Danio rerio: one gene and its partners. The protein of the gene in region 2 binds, or shares a complex with, the protein of the main gene of each other region. Links are inferred from orthologs where the notes say so. Each region holds a gene or a part of one and is shown on either strand. Other genes may lie near its edges. The genes, in order: eaf2, cdk9, eaf1 and ccnt1.

Region 1 (4,706 bases), on a different chromosome or scaffold from region 2:
TGCTCATCTGATCCATGACACGCGCCTCGGCCATGAGCTCTGCACAAACACATCATAACAAGGAGTTTTCCCTGAACAACTCATTTACACCAGGGTTTCCCAAACTTTTCTGCCCGTGACCCCTAAAATAACAATGCCAGTGACTCGTGACCCCTGTTCAGTTGTGGCCTGTATTTATTTTTAATGTGTTTGATTGTCAGAAAGATGTCAGAAAGTTTAACCTGGTGCTATAAAATCATCTGCTGCAGCTGACACTATTGCCATGTTGTTAATCTAAAATAAACACACCAGTCCTATTAAAAAATAATTTAAAGGCTGATGGCTTACGTGTAAAATATGGTAATTCTAAAAGTTTATTTAAATTTATTTGACTTTTGGAAATCATCAAGCGTCCCCTTCATTGTCCTGCGACCCTCCAGGGGGTCCGACCCCCACTTTTGGAAACTTTTCCCCACTTTAAATCATCCATCCATCCATCCATCCATCCATCCATTCATCTATCTACATCCATTCATCATCTATCTATTCAACCATCCATCCATCCATCCATTCATCATCTATCTATTCATCCATCCATCAAACTTTTTTTTTTTTTTTTTTTTTTTTTTTTAGAGAAAATGAGTATAAAAAATGCACTTTTATGATTTATTAATTTTTTTTTTTTATGGTTGTCTCCTTCAATATTTCAAGACCAGGAAAAAATATAAAGTTGTGTTATAACCTTGTAATACCTCTACAGCAACATTAAGAACTGTACTTACTAGGTTCAGATGGTTTTGAGGGACAAAATTGAAAAAGATTTAATAATCCAGGACTATTACACTAAATCGATCACAACCATCATAATTATTGTTAAATGAGGAAACACTTTAACTGTCATTTCATTGTATTATGTTTATATCTCCACAATTTGCATTAGATTTCTTTTAGAATAACTAAATCACAGTCATTTGAGACCACAGGCTTGCAGTATAATCAGGGTTTCTTCCAATCATTCCATATCCGTTTCCAAAAAAAAAAAAAAAAAAAAACGGAAAACGGATGTTTTTTGGTTTTTCTTTTGCTCACAAAAACCTACATTTTGGCTGGATTTTCATTTTTTATTTTAGGGGAGGAAAACGGATCAATGACTTTAAAATTCATTAAACACATGTAAGCAGTGCTGAAAGCCCTTTTTCCTCTGATTGGCTAACCAAGTCTAAGCTCATGACGTCGCCCTCAAAATAATAGTCCTCTGAGGATCTGCACCCAGGCTTTTTATCATTATTATTTATTTTATATATAAACTAAGTTTAAATATCCTAGTATTTAATCAGTTAGCAGGCTTACATTCATTGCGTATGCATAAGTTAAATAAAAACATAAATTAGCAGTATAGTTACACATGTCATTAAAAGAAGGCAATAGTTCGTAGCAAAACGTCTTGCTGCTGTGCGCCTGATGCCGAGTAAAGATAGCCTTTTCTGAGCATAACCTAGTTTGCATTATTGTTTCAGAGCTACTGTAGGCCTAAATAATAATAATAATAATAATAATAATAATAATAGTAGTAGGCTTATAATAAATATTATTGTTTACTTTGTGTTTTTTTATTGTCTAGTTTTTTAAATAATTGTTAGCAGGACCAGAACAAGAACACATTGGGCCCTAGGGCTATAACAAAAGATACCATTAGTTTTTTTTACATTTTTATTTCCTCTTATTTTAAATATATATATATATATATATATATATATATATATATATATATATAGGACTATTGTTTTGAAGACAACGTGATGAGCTCAGATTTCATTCGTCAGATGAAAAAGGGCGTTTCAACATCGCCTACATGTGTATAATGAATTTAAAAGTAGTATCCATTTTCCTACAATAAACCCCAAAAAAAAAAAAAAAAAAAAAAAAGAGCCAAAAGTTTTCCCTTTTTTTCAAACGGTTTAAAAACAGATATGGAATGGACGGAAGATACCATGAATCAATATAATATGTGGATCAGTTATGGATGTGAAACTGATGATTTGTTGCAGGAATCTTTTTTTTTTTTTTTTAATTTGGACCAGACATGTTACCTCGCTCAATATCATCCATAGGAGATGATGGAGACATCTTTTCTTTGGGAGGAGAGCTCTTGGTGCTGGATGGAGCCTTGCTTCCGCTACCCGTCTTCATCTGCTGGCTGAGTCTGCTGGTTTGTTGCTCCAGCCGTGACTGAATCTTACTGCTTCCCTCAGCCCTGGACAGAAAAGAGAATTTGACAATTTATTTACTTCACATACAATTCAAAGGATTAGAAGGAAGCATCATATTTATATGACTTGAAACTCAAAAGTGTTTTTACCTGGTCTTCTTGACCGCAATGTTGTTGCTGAGTTTCTCCAGACGATACTCTCCTGTGTCATGGTTAACAATCAGAATACACTCCTTCATATAAGGCCTTTTAGAGCCTTTAAATACAGTAACTGGTGCTGTGGATCCCTGAAAGGGTTGATTGGAGAGAAAAAGACTCAAGAATCATTCATTTTACGTACACTTCAGAATGTAAGGTTATGAAACCTACTTCCAAGTTCGGTAATGTGATTGTAACTTGCTCTCCTTTTCCCACTTCCAGCTCCCCCTCACATGTAGTGTCTATGGAGGCTGGTTTGAAATCATCTGTGTCCAGGAAGAACATATTTCTTGATATTCAGGTGTGCTATTATTACTGACACGTACAGTACACAGTAAAACAAACATCGTAGTATCATTGCAGAACCTACAGAGGGCGCGTGTTTCCCATGAAAGATCATTATTCTTCATGAATTAAATGGCTCTCAAAATTTCATTAAAACGACAAGTTTTCGACTAACAAAAAAGGCTGTTTATTTATAATAGTTTTCGTTGTGAGCACAAAGACAGGATGCTTTTTTAAATGATCCCCAAACAACATACAAAGCCGAGTTTAAGCCAGCAAGGTGGAAAAGCACATAGCTGCCTCCTGATATGCCTGTGCGTTTTCTTTGAAAACAATATATGGTTTCGGTGTTAACTTAAAAAACACCTCGTTTTCTTTTTCAAAATATGACTCACATTATCGTGTTTATATGATCATTTTGAAATACCGCTAGCAATATAAAAGATGCAACTTACATCGTACCGTGTGGAATGCACTTTTAGGTTGTTTCTCAAAAGTTTCGCCTAGTTTGAGGACGTGTTCTTGACTGTCAAAGTTTGAATATGCTGTTCCATTCATTCTAATCCAAATTTTCAACCATATATTAGCGATTTTCAACTTTCTGCTTGGTTTGATACCATCTAAGGCAGAAATAGACGCCTCACTTCTGGACCCGTTGCTCACGCTTGCTACGTTGGGATTGGCTGTGTTACTGCACTTGGTCACGCCTCATTTCGTTCACTTCTTGTCTGTAATTGGTTTAGAAGACAATCAGTCGACGCTGACGTAACGTTTGACGGAAGTGCCCATCTTTTCCCTTACACGCGTTTACACGACTGCACTGGTGCCCTCTAGTGTTCCCTAAGAATGCTTATTTGTATTTGTGCAGTTAACGATGACAAGTAAAAAAGTCTTGTCAGTTAAGAAAAAATAAAAATGACATGTTGAAACGTAGTTTGGGTCTAAAATAAATATTTTAAGGTATGTTCCAAACGGGTAATTTCATTAGCACAGACAATAAAATCATAATTCCTCATAAAATATTAAATTATATTAATAGATTATATGCCTTGCTGTGTTGGAATCGTTTTCTCTTTTCCCCCAAATATGTTTTGTTTCTTTAATAAAATCGTGCAGTTTGTTTGCATTGACGCAGAGAGAGTAACGTTATATGGGGTCTTCTGCTATCTAGAGGTCGCCGATTCATTTACGAGCAGCGCGTGTGTGGAGGAGAGAGACCGTCGACATGTCAACTCTACTAAAACAAATATCTAATGTAAGTATGATCATACACTACACTGTCATTTCTCCTGTATCTTTATATTAATGAGTCGGTTGTAAAAGTGACACGTTCATTAACGAAGCGGAGGCTAAATAAATGAATTGTCCCGTTCACTTCATATTTTGAGCGAGGGTTAACCAGCTTTCTGTCAGCTTAAGTATTTGTTATTTTCAGTTTAATGTTCACGGAATACCGTATACTAGGTTATCTTCAGTGTCATTCATCTTAAACGTAAAACTATTTCCATGAAGTCCACTGTTTCTGAAAACCTCAATAGAGATGGAGATTGGTTCAGCGGGAGCATGTGATGTAGGGAATTAGCAGGTTGCTGGGTGACTGTCTGTAAAACAAAGAAAAACATCCTTTGAGATCTAATATGATGGGGTGAAAATGAAGTCTGACACTACTTGTCATTAGATTAGATTAGAGATTCTGTATTTTATGCTGATCTGATGCTGAGTTTTAGATTCCATCTGTAAATGCTTGTAGCTTTATATATAATTGCATTTGAAAAAAGTGTGTGACCATGAATCAAGTAATGATGTAGAATCAATGAAAACATTTCCATTTCTGCACAAATTATAGGTCACACATGACATTTATTATGATTTATTTTACAGCTCTTACATATTTATTTACCAGCTTCAGAAATCATAGATGTAGCCTTGTGAAATTCATAATTTGCAAAGAAAGGAAATGATTAGAAAGGTGTTCAGTAATTAGAAAAGAATTAAAAAATGTTTTTTATTAGACTTTTTGTTTTTACCAGTGGTC
Region 2 (4,725 bases):
ACAAAGAGCATGTGTAATTCCGCCGGTCCTACACCACCCAACCCGCCCCGAGCTGGTATCGATCCGGCGACCTTCCGCATGGGAGTCGGGTGCTCTACCAAGGAGGCTAAAGACCATGGCTTCTAGTGTCCATCGCTAATAGTAATGTTTACCTGCACAGCACTTACTAGCTGGCCTCCGTTACACTCAGCCCCCTAAACCTCACTCTCATCCGGGTCACGACACCTATGTAACCCTGCCAGTCCTACACCACCTAACCCGCTCCGAGCTGGGATTGAATAGGCGACTTTCCGCATGGGAGTCAAGTGCTCTACCGAGAGATTAAAGACCATGACCTCTAGCGTCTGTCGCTAGAGGACCTTTAGAGGTCAGAGGAGTGAGGTTTACCTGCACAGCACTTACTGGCTGGCCTCCGTTACACACAGCTCTAATTTCACTATATTTCCCAAGTATTTGCAAGCTATATGGATTATTAATTAGACATATTTGCACAAGCAAATCCCACCGTGGTGAGTGACTATTACTGTGATTATGGGCGCTGAACGCTGCTTTGTTTACAATTGATGCTCATTCGAAGTTTGGTTTCCCTTTGTGGAAGGAGAAAACAGATACTGCCCCCTGCTGGTGGGGAATGACATGTCCTTGCACAGATGCAGAATGTGGCTCGTTTCTGTCGTCTTTTGTCAGTTTGGTCTGGTCATGCGCAGCTTTTGCTCTAGATGGGATCCAGCACGATAATAATAGGTTTTGTTGGGTGTTGGAGTTTGGCGTCAGCTTGGTGTGTCCCGGTCTTTACATGCTTTTACAAGGCACTTTTATCCAAAGTGACTTCAGTGTTTCCAGACTCAAGTGTATTATGTGTTTTGTTTCAGATCCTCCACAGAGACATGAAAGCAGCCAATGTCCTGATCACCAGAGATGGTGTCCTGAAGCTGGCTGATTTCGGTCTGGCCCGAGCCTTCAGTTTGGCTAAAAACAGTCAGGGGAATCGCTACACAAATCGGGTGGTCACTCTGTGGTATAGACCGCCTGAACTACTGCTGGGTGGGTGAAACCACATCAAACACTTGTTACTTTTCATTTTCGCTTTGTGTTGATATTGTTACGACCGGCTCATTGGAGTCGCAACATGAAAGATCAAGCAACAAAATAGTGCAAATTATTTATTATAATCAAAACTAATACAAAAACAATGATATAAATAATGCAAAACAAACCCAAAATGTTAAGAGTCAACCAGATTCGACTTCTGATTAACCACACAGTGACCTGCCCTAGCTAGCACAACAACTCTTATATACACATTAAAGCAATTATAGATTAGTAATGCAGTCATCCAATCAGGATCTACTACATTCTTTAATGAGGTCTGGGGACTTGGGATCATCACAGTATGGATTTATTTATTTATTCTGTATTTTTGTAGGCGAGAGAGACTACGGGCCTCCCATAGACCTGTGGGGCGCGGGGTGCATCATGGCGGAGATGTGGACCAGAAGCCCCATCATGCAGGGCAACACAGAGCAGCACCAGCTCACACTCATCAGTCAGCTGTGCGGATCCATCACTCCTGAGGTACACACTTTACTCCAGTAATGTTGGAGGATCAGCTCACGCAATTGCCAACCGAAAACATACTTTTCAGATGCTTTGTCAGCTTTTTATTTTCAGGATTTTTGTGTATAATTCACCTAAATTCATTAATTTTCCTTTAGCTTAGTCCCTGATTTATCATGCCAACTACTCTGGCATGTGTTTAATGCAGCGAACGCCCTTCCAGCCGCAACCCAGTACTGGGAAAATTTCACCGAAAATTTCACTCCCTTCAGAATATACTGATTGTACCATTGGGTGCACATAGTCCTCCAGAATGGTTCGGTTGTCCTTGACAGTGACAGATGCGCCAGCGAGACACACACCAATTTGTCCTCTTTTGAACTCTGTCACCCATAATGTTGTGTGCGTTGCAATATTTTTAGAAAAAAATGCTTTTATTCTTTTAATTAAACCTTCACACTCTGCTCCTACTGGTGGAATGTGCAATCACTGGTCAAATTCAGCCATGAAACCTCCAACTTTAAATTGACCAGCGTTTCAGTTTCATTGTCCAACGTCTGTATATTTATTATGCATATGAGATGCACACACATACATAAAGACAATATTTGTTACATAGATATTTTATTCTATTACGCAGTTTAATGAAGTGTATATCTAAATATAAATAAACATTTCTCTAATATATGTATGCATATTTATGTGTTTATATTTACACAAAAAGTATATACAGTACATACATGTTATCTTAAAAGTTTTTTATTTTGGATGCAATTAATCACAATCTTTGCCCAGCACTACAGGGTATCTTAAGTATAAGTCTTAATGTCTTAAATTTTAAAAAACAAATTTAAGCCTTAAAAAGTCCTTAATCCGCTGAAATATTGTGTTGTAGGTCTTAAATTAATTTTAAACTGGTCCGAATTTTCCTCTGTCCATGTAAAGCTTTACCCAATTGGGCCAACATCCATCCATCCAAACACTAACAATATATTTTTCCAATATATTTAATGGTTTTAAGAGACGTTTATTTATTAACTCTATTTACTTATTAATGTGGTTTAATTATTTTTCTTACAATTACCTGTTTTTTTTTTTTTTTTTTTTAATTTCAGGGTTTTCACCTTTTAATTGATAGGACAGTAGAGAGTATAGACAGGAAAGTGTAGGGAGCAGAGAGAGGGGAAAGATCGGCATAGGACCGCGAGGCGGGAATTGAACTCGAGTTGCCAGAACACCAGAGTGCCATGTGTCGATGCACTAACTACTACACTACTAGCACCGACACAATGACCTGTTTGTAATGTTAAGGGTTTTAACTTGGCTATTTGAATAATATTTAGCATTTAGCCTTGTGTTGTCTGAAATTTCATTCATTGTGGTCTTAAAATGGTCTTAAAGTCTTAAATTTGTCTTGGTGAAACCTGTGTAAACCCAGCACTTGTGTTTATTGATCCGCCTGTATTTAACATCTCCATTCTGCACTGTCTCAGGTCTGGCCGGGTGTGGATAAGAAGTATGAACTGTATCAGAAGATGGAGCTTCCTAAAGGGCAGAAGCGTAAGGTGAAGGACCGGCTGAAGGCGTATGTGAAAGACCCTTACGCTCTGGACCTCATAGACAAACTGCTGGTTCTGGATCCGGCGCAGAGAATTGACAGTGATGACGCTCTCAACCACGACTTCTTCTGGTCCGACCCCATGCCCTCTGACCTCAAAAACATGCTCTCCACACACAACACCTCCATGTTTGAGTATCTAGCCCCGCCCCGCAGAAGAGGTCACATGCCTCAGCAGCCGGCCAATCAGAACAGAAACCCAGCCACCACCAGCCAATCAGAGTTCGACAGGGTCTTCTGATTAATCTGTAATTGGTCGAGGAGAAAGAGACTTATTTAAATGACTAAATATACATTTCAGCACATCTTGGCTTGGAAATCCAGGCAGATGCATAGAAATCCTGGAGTTTACCATCTGCACTCACTATTGTAATTACAAAAAATACTGATTGTGGATCAGATGAGTTCTGTTGATGAAACTTTTGATGCTTTATTATGGAGCTTCAACACTTTTGAGAAATGAGTGTATTATTGTGCTGCCCCAGTGCATTGTGGGAGAGAAAAGAAGTGTACTTAGTGTATTGATGCACAGATTGTGTTATTGGATGTGAGTCTCCTGAGAAGATGATTTTGTATTGTAAAGAGCGACACGCTACTTTTGTCTAGGAGACATTTATTTAAACCCTTCACTTCTCTTGACAGATTTTATTGTTAATTTAGCTGCTTATTTTTAAAGATGTTTTTATTTGTAAGATCACGTGTTCAGGGTCATGGTGTTTGTTACTTGTATAAGTATAAATACACCAATAAATCCTCCACATTTCCCATCATTGTTGTTGTTCGTGCTGGAATATTGGGATTTAGCTTGTGGCTAAATGCAATATAATATGAATGCAATATGCTTATATAAAATACAGTATAAATGAATGAATGCCAGAAGATTGTCATATTGACATACTGCACATTATTAAGAAATTAACTGAACATTTAATTATCGCATGCAGTGCTGAGGCTGAGAATTTTTATATTTTATAGATTGTCACAAAACCACAAAGTAAAGTTGTGCTGTAATGCATGCATTTTCTCCATTTGCTGTGTTCTTGTGATGAGGATTCTCCATCCTCTCTGCTGTCAAGCTGATAGCTGCTATTCTACTGTTCTCACATCGAGCCATATCACAATTCCAGTTTTTGTGTCAAAAAAGAGCTCTTCAATTAAAAATAAGATGTGTCACACCATTTAAGGTGTTTTTGAACTTGACTATCTTACACAGTATGTTTATGGAACCCTGGAAAGAAAATCCATAAGAAATTAGATGTCCAGGCTATTTATTTTGTTTTACTGTGTTGCATGATTATGATGCAAAGCAGATGCTATTAGCTGTTGTAGGATAATTAGTACACACTCTCAGAACATTGAACCTCTTTTAGATTTAGAAAACCCTTCAGCCGAAACAAACTTGTAAAAAGAAAAAATACATCTGTCATAAGTGAATATTTTGATTACTTGCATTTTGATTTATAGTATTAAAATGTAGGCATTCATGCTACTGCCTAAAATCCAACGAGATTAACCCTTTAACTACACCACTAAAAAAATGTTTGGATTGC
Region 3 (4,651 bases), on a different chromosome or scaffold from region 2:
CCTTGCTTACTTTTAGGAACTTTGACGTGAAGGCTGAAGTATGAGAAGAAGCGCTATCCTGCTGAAGAATTTGCCCTCTCCTGTGGTTTTTAATGTAATGTACAGCACAAATGTCTTGATACCTCAGGTTGTTGATGTTGCCATCCACTGCAAATCTCTTGCACGCCCCTATACTGAATGTAACCCCAAACCATGATTTTTCCTTCACCGAACTTGACTGATTTCTCTGACAATCTTTGATCCATGCTGTTTGCAATAGATATTCTGCAGCATTTTTGATGATTTAAATGCAGATCAACAGATGATTCATCTAAAAAAAAATAAAATAATAATCTACCTTCTGCCACTTCTCCAAATGATCAACTAGAAGTGAGGTATTATTTGTTGCTCTTACAACTGGGCTCGACGACAGGACTGTCAGGTAGTCAGTGTACTTTATTTTGCACCACGAACGTGAGTTATTTCAGTTAGGTTGCAGAAGTGTAACTTACCTTTGCGTACTGCTCCTTGAGGGGTGCAGACAGTCTGAGAATACAGCACATCTCTGCAGTCAGTCTGAAATATAAAATAAAAGCATCTTTATTACCGAGTTTAATCTGTTCACGCGACAGGGCTATAGAGAACTAGAGAACTTACCTTTTCTGTATTAAATCTGTCACATAGTCCTTTCCTGACTTTCGCTTCCCACTGAATAACAGAATGATGCTAGGTTGTGTAGTTGCCATGGTTGTAATTACATGTGATGTGTACTTCATACTCGTGTACACAACTGACACATGTCGAGGACTACAGCCTTCAATATGAATCAGGAACCGCTTTATGTCGCTTTACCGTAACTACCAAAAAAATGTAACCTAAAAATAATATAAGCGTCTTTGGTTCTTCTGTTTGCTTAACTATTTTCTTTATTTGTGTTACTTTAAAACTTTATTGGCGTATGCGATGTTTTTTCTGTCATCTAAAAGGATATCTAAGTGAAATGTGGAAGTGTGGAAACAGGATGTTTGGTGTTTTTGTGTAGCTACGGTAATCGGACGAGTGTCACGCCATCAACTTACTGGGTATGTGCTAAATATATTTACATTTCATGTAAATAAGTTACCAGAGTGTTTTTAATTTATGCAGATATTTAAATAGTATCAGAAAAAGTTCAATAAAATAATAATCTTACATTGTTTACGTATTTATAAACACTTTTTTTCACTGACCCGGAAGTGAAACCACAAAAACGTTTGTTTCTGTATTTCATTCTTATTTGTTATTCCCCAAGTGCGGTTTATAAAGGAAATTATTTTTTAAGTGATAAAACTTGTATTTTTAAAAGTAAAATAAACCAAACATCTAAGGTGAATGCGTTATTTTTGGTTTCTGTGACCCGGAAGTTTTGAATCTGTCAGGATTGTTTTGCTTTTAGCGTCTTCTCCTTTTGTCTTTGTTTACATGTGGATAAACCGAGGATTTTTTCATTTTGGGTGAAGTTGGTGAATTCAATGTGACGCGCAGTGATGAACGGCAGCTCGAACCCGCCGCTGGATAAAGAAGAGCATGTGTTGAAGCTCGGGGACAGTTTTGAGAAGAGACCAAAATCATCCTTTCACACCATCAGATGTGAGTCCATCAAGAGAGACATAACATGCGTTATTCAAAGTATATCCCAACTAGAAATTTTCAGTTCTCTACATGCTCTAAGCATATTACCAAGCAATGTTGCATTACTGTTTTCCGCGGGTAGTTTTGTTTTAGTTCCCAGAACATTCTCTTAAAACAGTGCTCACCAAACTTGTTTCTGGAGGGCCGGTGTCCAGCAGATTTTAGCTCCAACCCTAATCAAACACACCTGAACAAGCTAATCAAGGTCTAACTAGGTATACTTGAAACATCCAGGCAGGTATGTTGAGGCAAGATGGAGCTAAACCCTGCAGGGACACCGGCCCTCCAGGACCAGGATTGGTGACCCCTGTCTTAAAAGATAGGAAAACATTTTCTATAATAATATTAACCACATTCGCACACCTTCAAATCTAATACTTCTTTGCTAAAAGGAAATAGGCCAATAAACCACTTTTTATAGCAATACGTTTATTAAAAAAAAAGTTATATTATCAAATATTCATCTTAAAAAATATTTTTTGTTTTAGTAATGTAATTTATTCAGCCAGGATTTAGTGAACTCACAATATTTTGTAAAAAACAGAGAAATTATTTCAGTTCTTATATATATAAAAAGGCCTAAATAGATGCAAGGTCATTCAAATATTTTGCTCTTCTCTGACTAACACACAGGTGTCAAACTCAGTTCCAAAAAGGCCGCAGCTCTGCACAGTTTAGTTCCAACCCTAATTCAACACACCTGATCAAACTAATTGAGTCCTTCAGGCTTGTTTGAAACCTACAGGTAAGAGTGTTGGAGCAGGGTTGGAACTAAACTGTGCAGGGCTTCGGCCCTCCAGGAATTGAGTTTGACACCCCTGGACTAACACAAATACTTGCGACTGGTTCATGAGATCAGTCAGGGGTGCGTTTCCCAAACAATGACGTAACTCGCGGCTTCATCATGTGATGCATAGTTTGGGAAAAGAACAATTGAATGTAGTGACGAGTGTTTCCCAAAACCCATAGTTTCTCTGTCACAGATCCATCGTTTGAACCATGGTATTAATAACGTAAAATGCCCATAATGATGCTGTAAATGGCGTAGAGTAACTACTTCTTTAGAGAAAAACCCATCATTTCTTTGTGCAAATTATTTTGTTTTACACAAACACGCATTTAAAAAAAATCCAATATTAGGTTAGGTAAAAACATGCACTTGTTTTCCATAGTAACTTAAATATATGTAAATTGAACATACAGGGCATGTGATTCCTTTACAAATATTATTAAGAACATTACATATTCTATTGTAAGACATAAAACCACTTAAAAAAGCGAAAATGCATTTTGATATCATATATAAATAAATAAATAAATAAATAAATAAATAAATAAATAAATAAATAATGAGGCTATTTATTGAGAAATGAAATTTTATATTCATTATGTATTAAAAAAATATACCACTTTAATAAAATTAATGATAATGACAATTATTATTATTATTAATAAGTAGGATATTGTTTGCTTATTTATTTAAAATTTTTTGAAAAGTCTACTTTTACAATTTGACATGAGAACCACAACAGAAATGTGCTAATCAACAGGCCCTTGTCATATACAGTACAGATACTTAATAAATTACCCACTATAAATTAAAATCTTTAACGCATGCTGTGTTTTTTGTTTTCACAAGCTTTGGAGACGTAACATAAATTCTGCTTTTAAATAATAGGTCACCTATAGCTTTAGTCATGAGCCGCGGCTGTGTTCAAAATGACATCAATGTTTTCAAAGTGCACTGCGGAGGGACACAATTGTCAATTTGAAAATTTTTAATACTGTGTTCACACCAGACGCGGAATGCGCGTCAAGCGCGAGTGATTAACATGTTAACATTCGCGCCGCGTTAACCAATCAGGAGCTTGCCTTGTGGGGGCGTGATTGTGACGTATCTCCTGTTGTAGGTGTCCCGGGGCTGTTTTTCAGCCTTCATAAACACATAAACACTGTTATTTTCTTCATAAAATCCATGTTAGCCATTTAGCAACAAAGCTACAGTCACCGGGCAGACAGAAGCCCTGCCTATCACGCGAATACGCGTCTGTTCTGAAGTGAATTTGACGTGCGAATGAAGTGGGGTTTGACGCTCGAATGAAGCCAGTAAACTCAAATGTTCACGCGGCTATTTACGTGCGAATAGCGCGATTTATCCGCGCGTTCCGCATCTGGTGTGAACGCAGCATACTGAACTGAAAAAATAGTTTGAAAGCAAATTATACCTAAGAGGAATGAGCTTAATGCTTTTTTAGTCATTCCAATTTTAAATATTAGAATGTTTTAAATGAAATGGGCATAGGGGGGATAGCTGGGAATAGCACACAGCCAGGAACTATGTTTCTAACTACAGCTCCAGAGGTGTAGTTGCAAGCATACAAGTTTACAACGCAGTTTGCGAATGTTTGTTGGAACGATGGATTTGGGAAACGGCTAATCATTGAAGTATGTTTGTAACGACTTTAGTTGGCTAACAATGATTTTCGGAAACGCACCCCTGATCAGCAAGTACCGATCGAGTCATTAAATGTGATTATCAGCCAATCGAAGCCCCCTACCTAAAACCAAGGCATAATTATAGAATTTAGTTTGTGAGAATGAAAACAGGCACAAAAAATTGTAGTAATGAAATGCATTGATTTTATTATTTTAGTAAAGATACATTTATTTCAATTAAATAAATAAAAAGAGAATGAAAAACTAGCTTCATTGTCGTACTGTACGTTTACAATTGTGTGCTATTCCTCCACAGATGATTTTAAACCAGCGTCTATCGATACGTCCTGTGAAGGAGATTTACAAGTGGGAAAAGGAGATGAGGTTACCATCACTTTACCACACATACCAGTAAGAGCAGCGTTCTCTTTAACATTTATATCCGCTTATGTATGACAGCCTTTCTAGAATACTCTGATTTCTCTTTAGGGCTCCACTCCACCAATGACGGTGTTTAAGGGCAACAAAAGGCCTTATCAGAAAGACTGCGTTCTCATCATCAATC
Region 4 (4,931 bases), on a different chromosome or scaffold from region 2:
TAGAAGTAATAAAAACGTGACAAACGAATGAAAAGACATTTAGCGATTATATTAGCGGCATTTCAAGTTAAAAGTTCTCAGCAAACTTTTATTTTTTATAAACAGCTGAACGACAAACTTTTTCACTGATTTTATCCAGCAAAACCTAATTTTCATAAATTTTAAAGTGGGATTGATGTAAATTGTATTTTTTTTTTGTAATGAATATGAGGAATTTCCCAGAGATGGGTTGCGGCTGGAAGGGCATCCTCTGCGTAGAAACTTGATGGATAAGTTGGCGGTTCATTCCACTGTGGCGACCCCGGATTAATAAAGGGACTAAGCCGACAAGAAAATGAATGAATATGAGGAAACGGCTTTACACTTATTTTGGCATTGTCATCAACTGATGGGGTGAGGTGCAAAATGTTTAATAACAATTTTTAGTGTTCTAAGCCTCTCTTATTATTGTGGGAAAATGTACTTTTTGGCTTTACTGTTGACCCTTGAAAAGAGGAAATTGTTTTTATTTAACTAATTTACTTATATTATTGGTGGCGCAGTGGATAGCGCTGTTACCTCACAGCAAGAAAATTGCTGATTTGAGTTTTGTGGAGTTTGCATATTCTCCCTTGTGTTCATGTGGGTTTCTTGCAGGTGCTCCGGTTTCCCTCACAGTTAAGACATGCGCTATAAGTGAATTGAGTAAGCTAAACTGGCCGTAGTGTATGTGTGTGAATGGGAGTGTATGGGAGTACTGGGTTGCAGCTTGAAGGGCATCCGCTGCGTGAAACATATGCTGGATAAGTTGGCGGTTCATTCTGCTGTGGCGACCCCAGATTAATAAAGGGACTAAACCGAAAAGAAAATGTAGATGTTAAAAAAAAATTATATTCATAAATTTTAACATTTATGTTAAAATGTTAAAATGTTATATGCTGTTCTTTAAATAAAAATAAATAAATAAAGCATGTCTAAAATGACGTTGATATGAACAAAATATGCCATGTATTCAACATAAGAGGAGGAATTGCAGCTGTTTATTGATATTACGGACGTCTCGATTAAAACTGCACTGTAAAAATGCAAAAACAAAAAAACCTCCAGACGCCCATTACACAGCAGCAGCAGGATGTCTATGAAGAGTTTATTTGCAAAACTGATACCTCCATTTTATAGAAATATTATGTTTTTTAATGTGTATTGAAGAGTACAATTGCAAAAAAAAATTCTATATTTATAGAAATAAAACTCTTGATATATCACCATTTTAAAATATACAGTAAGACTGTTTAGAGATGGTGTCAATTTGACTGGCCACCCAATGGATGCAAACACAATGAAGAGAGATAGTACTATATTCCAACTCATTATCTGCATTATATGATTTTTACAGTAATTAAAGAGATCATCTTTAAGACAGGAGTTTCTGTATGAAATTTGTACAACATTTATGCTAAATTGAAAGCATAACAAAGATTTATGAATACATCCTCATGTAGAGAAGTAGAAGTAAATGAGTTGGCAGATAAGCTGACTTAAACTTGCTCTGAGAAATGCTGTCAAACACAGTTTTACTTCATATATATATATATATATATATATATATATATATATATATATATATATATATATATATATATATATATATATATATATATATATATATATATATATATATAAGGGTTTTGATTAGTAAATTTGCATCAATGTATGTTTGTACTGTTCAGACGTGAATGGGTTAAGTCTAACAGCGCCGCAGTCGCATTCCAGCCAGCGATGACGCGCTTCCTGTGACGCAGTGAGATTTTAAAACATTGTCCTTCTCAGTAATGGCGGCTTCGTTCCCTTCGCCTTCGCAAAATAACAATAAATGGTACTTCACGCGCGAACAAATCGAAAACAGTCCATCTCGCCGAGCGGGACTTGATCCCGACAAAGAGCTCTCGTACCGACAGCAAGCTGCTAACCTGCTGCAGGACATGGGACAGCGGCTCAACGTGTATCTTTTTCAGTTAGGCAGGCGTCGGTCTCGGCAGCTGCTCCGAGGAGGCTGACGCCGGTTTGGGCGGCACGAGTGGTGTTGAATTTCAGCGTTATAATGACCTGAAACGGGTCTACCAGTATACACGCCTTTTCAATTGTGAAACTTGTGGATTAAGGCGAACGGAATAAAGGATTAATGTCCCAATTTTGCGTTTATTTTTTGGTTTGGTGTAGGCCTCAAGGCCTAACTGGAGGTGTCTCTGCCATTGAACAATAGCGTAGCCGGTGTCACAGCCATTCCCAATATGAATTTGACTCTGTTTACTTCATTACATCATTTGTTTATACTCTAAAATGAGGCGTTTATGTCATTTATGCCATTTCAAATATATATGTAAATATAGTAATCAGCATAGTTTCATTTTCCCTTTTCAGGGTGGCTCTGTTACAGTAACATGACATTTAAGTTAGTATATAGAGGAAATATGAGCTGTCCTGCTTTATCTTATGTTACTAATGTGCTTTAGATTAATGAAAACCAGCCATTTTCGTCTTATTTGTCGTTCTGAGTACTTTCACTTTTAACTTTACTGGTGCTAAAGGGTATCAAATGAACTGGCAATCTCTCTTATTGAAATAAAAATACCAGAGGCTTAGATAAAACGAATCTGTGACTGACAAGGTCATATTTTGCATGATATATTGGACAGAAGTGCCTTCAGACTGTTTATTTTTGTTATTTTAATGAATTACAATCCTTAACTTTGGACACTCAGCTCACAACTCACAATTAACACTGCCATTGTGTATATGCATCGCTTTTACATGGTCCAGTCCTTCACTCGCTTCCACCGGAATGTATGTGTCTTCTTTCATATACGCGTTTCAAATAAAACATGCTGGCTGCATTGAACAAGATAATAATCTCTTAATGTCCCGTGTTGTTCAGGTGATTGCTCCTGCAGCTCTGTTTTTAGCAGCGAAGGTGGAGGAACAGCCCCGTAAGCTGGAGCATGTGATTAAGGTGACCCATGCATGTCTCAATCCTCAGGACCCATCACCGGACACCAGGAGTGATGTAAGTAATACTGTACTGTATATGGATTATGGCCTTAAAAACATTGGTTTTGTCTACGTTATTTGTTTAAATGTTACTTGATCTTTTGGGTACACTTCATTTTAAGGTGTTAGAGTTTAGTTGTATTTAAGTATTGACTGATGGAAGTTAACAACTGTGTATTTACTATAGGGTTTGAAATAGAGTTTTGGCTTAGGGTTAGTTGCATGTAGTTTTGCATTTTTTGTACGGCATTGAATTCGTTTCAGTTATAAATTTTAATACTAAACTAAAAAACTGAAACTAAAGTAAATGATAATAAAAAATGTTCTTTGGAGTGAACTTGCTTTAATTTTTCAGAGTCCTGAGTGAGTGCTGTTTTTTTCACCTATTTTTGTTTCTGAATGTAACTATTTTGTAGTTGTTTTATCTAAATTATTTAATTGACCAACAGTTCATAACTCCATGATACCAGATCAGACAAGTTTCTATCGACTAATCAAAATATCCATTTTAGGTACATTTACATGACAATGGTCTACTAAACTCAGATTTATTTCCTTCGTTGAAAAAAAAGAGCTGCTCCGGCAATACAACCGAAAATGTCATGATCGGCTGATACCAAGTACCAATTCCGATGCTTGTTTACCTGTGCCATTGCATAAAGCACCTTTCCCCAAGTATGACACTTTAAGGCTGAATTATACTTCTGCATTAGTGATTGCCATAACCCATGGCACATATCTTGCATTTAGTCATGCTTTTATATTTCTGGTTTCTGTTAGTGTTGCGCTGACTGTAACACTACCGAAACGCAGGCTGGCAGGGGGGATTCTATATTTTTCTGTGCCGAGTTTCTTCACGGGTGTTTTGTTTTTACTGGAAATACTTTTAATGCAAACTCACTGTACAAGTAGCTCAAACTCACTCATTCAGAGGTTAAGAACCAGCAGAACTAAGCATGGACCTAAGATTCTGACGGTATAAAAACCTAGGGTAAAAATATCACTGTATTGTGACTACTGCTCTAAAATCTATTCTTTCTTTAGGGTAATGTCTGGGTAAAAAACTTTTGAACACATTATTTTTTATTTTGAGAAACATTTAAAATATTTTGGTGCAGTAAACATGTCATGCTAAATTAATTATTCACTTGAGCTGTCTTCATTTGCTTCAAAAACAGATTTTTTAGCAATTTAAAATGGCGTCTTCAGATAAATATTCTCACCAGGAGATTCTGTTGCCCTAAAAAAACAAACAAAAAAAACGTAAAAAAAGAAATCGTACACATCTCTTAGGAAAATTTTGATGGTTTTAAAACCTTGACCTTTTAAAACCGCGGTAACCTTGAAAACGGTTATCGTCCCATGCCTACGTGTAACAACTTTAATCATAAACACAAAACAAATATCTTCATCTAGAGCTTCTCCACAGGGACTCAATATTTGTTAAACACTCACGCCAAGGAGCTCGCTCCTCTCCTGCAACTCTCGGCCCCGATCACAATCATCAATGCTATCAAGCCAAGCGGTCACATATCTTGCACTATGCATTGGCGTAACATGTAGTTAAGTTTTTTTTGAGAGGTGCATTTAAGGGTTGGCAGTAGCGAAGGGTATGACTCTGTGTGCGCCAGACCAATTGCGTGCACTCACCTAGGGCTGCACAATATATCGTTTCAGCATCGATATCACAATGTGCGGATCTGCAATGTTGAGTCAGATTTATAGTTAACCAGGAGACACAGAACACATGTGATTGTAGAGTCTCTGCAAAGTTGTTGTTGTTTTGCTCAAAATGAGTTGGATACAAGATATTCTGACATTTTGAGGTGTAACAAAGATTTTTATTATTTTTATGATGAAGACTATACAGTGTTATTTTACTATTGCTCTGCAAAAAAATGCTT

The links.
Region 1: cdk9 (region 2) and eaf2 share a complex: the UniProt entries of both Homo sapiens proteins name them as parts of the super elongation complex. The link is inferred for Danio rerio from reciprocal best matches to the Homo sapiens genes CDK9 and EAF2.
Region 3: cdk9 (region 2) and eaf1 share a complex: the UniProt entries of both Homo sapiens proteins name them as parts of the super elongation complex. The link is inferred for Danio rerio from reciprocal best matches to the Homo sapiens genes CDK9 and EAF1.
Region 4: the proteins of cdk9 (region 2) and ccnt1 are in contact, whole or in part, in a crystal structure (PDB 3BLH), measured with the Homo sapiens proteins. The link is inferred for Danio rerio from reciprocal best matches to the Homo sapiens genes CDK9 and CCNT1. Residues at the interface, in NP_001252.1 of Homo sapiens: Val8, Glu9, Cys10, Pro11, Phe12, Cys13, Lys56, Glu57, Gly58, Phe59, Ile61, Leu64, Ile67, Lys68, Gln71, Leu72, Leu81, Ile82, Glu83, Ile84, Arg86, Ile99; in NP_001231.2 of Homo sapiens: Arg5, Lys6, Arg11, Trp12, Arg26, Ile72, Gln73, Phe78, Phe89, Leu90, Lys93, Val94, Pro98, Lys99, Lys100, Leu101, Val134, Glu137, Ile139, Leu141, Gln142, Thr143, Gly145, Phe146, Glu147, Leu148, Thr149.

Annotation. Positions count from the first base shown.
Region 1 is NC_133184.1:24,619,674-24,624,379, reverse strand, and holds the start of eaf2 (ELL-associated factor 2), read right to left. Parts: upstream 3,335-4,706; 5' UTR 3,230-3,334; coding exon 3,127-3,229; intron 2,653-3,126; coding exon 2,558-2,652; intron 2,476-2,557; coding exon 2,339-2,475; intron 2,234-2,338; coding exon 2,070-2,233; intron 40-2,069; coding exon 1-39. UniProt on the Homo sapiens protein: Acts as a transcriptional transactivator of TCEA1 elongation activity. Acts as a transcriptional transactivator of ELL and ELL2 elongation activities. Potent inducer of apoptosis in prostatic and non-prostatic cell lines.
Region 2 is NC_133196.1:7,407,334-7,412,058, forward strand, and holds the end of cdk9 (cyclin-dependent kinase 9), read left to right. Parts: intron 1-872; coding exon 873-1,044; intron 1,045-1,426; coding exon 1,427-1,575; intron 1,576-3,050; coding exon 3,051-3,416; 3' UTR 3,417-3,945; downstream 3,946-4,725. UniProt on the Homo sapiens protein: Protein kinase involved in the regulation of transcription.
Region 3 is NC_133191.1:7,228,287-7,232,937, forward strand, and holds the start of eaf1 (ELL-associated factor 1), read left to right. Parts: upstream 1-1,434; 5' UTR 1,435-1,505; coding exon 1,506-1,608; intron 1,609-4,402; coding exon 4,403-4,497; intron 4,498-4,575; coding exon 4,576-4,651. UniProt on the Homo sapiens protein: Acts as a transcriptional transactivator of ELL and ELL2 elongation activities.
Region 4 is NC_133198.1:38,752,471-38,757,401, forward strand, and holds the start of ccnt1 (cyclin-T1), read left to right. Parts: upstream 1-1,782; 5' UTR 1,783-1,811; coding exon 1,812-1,981; intron 1,982-2,741; coding exon 2,742-2,823; intron 2,824-2,914; coding exon 2,915-3,043; intron 3,044-4,931. UniProt on the Homo sapiens protein: Regulatory subunit of the cyclin-dependent kinase pair (CDK9/cyclin-T1) complex, also called positive transcription elongation factor B (P-TEFb), which facilitates the transition from abortive to productive elongation by phosphorylating the CTD (C-terminal domain) of the large subunit of RNA polymerase II (RNA Pol II).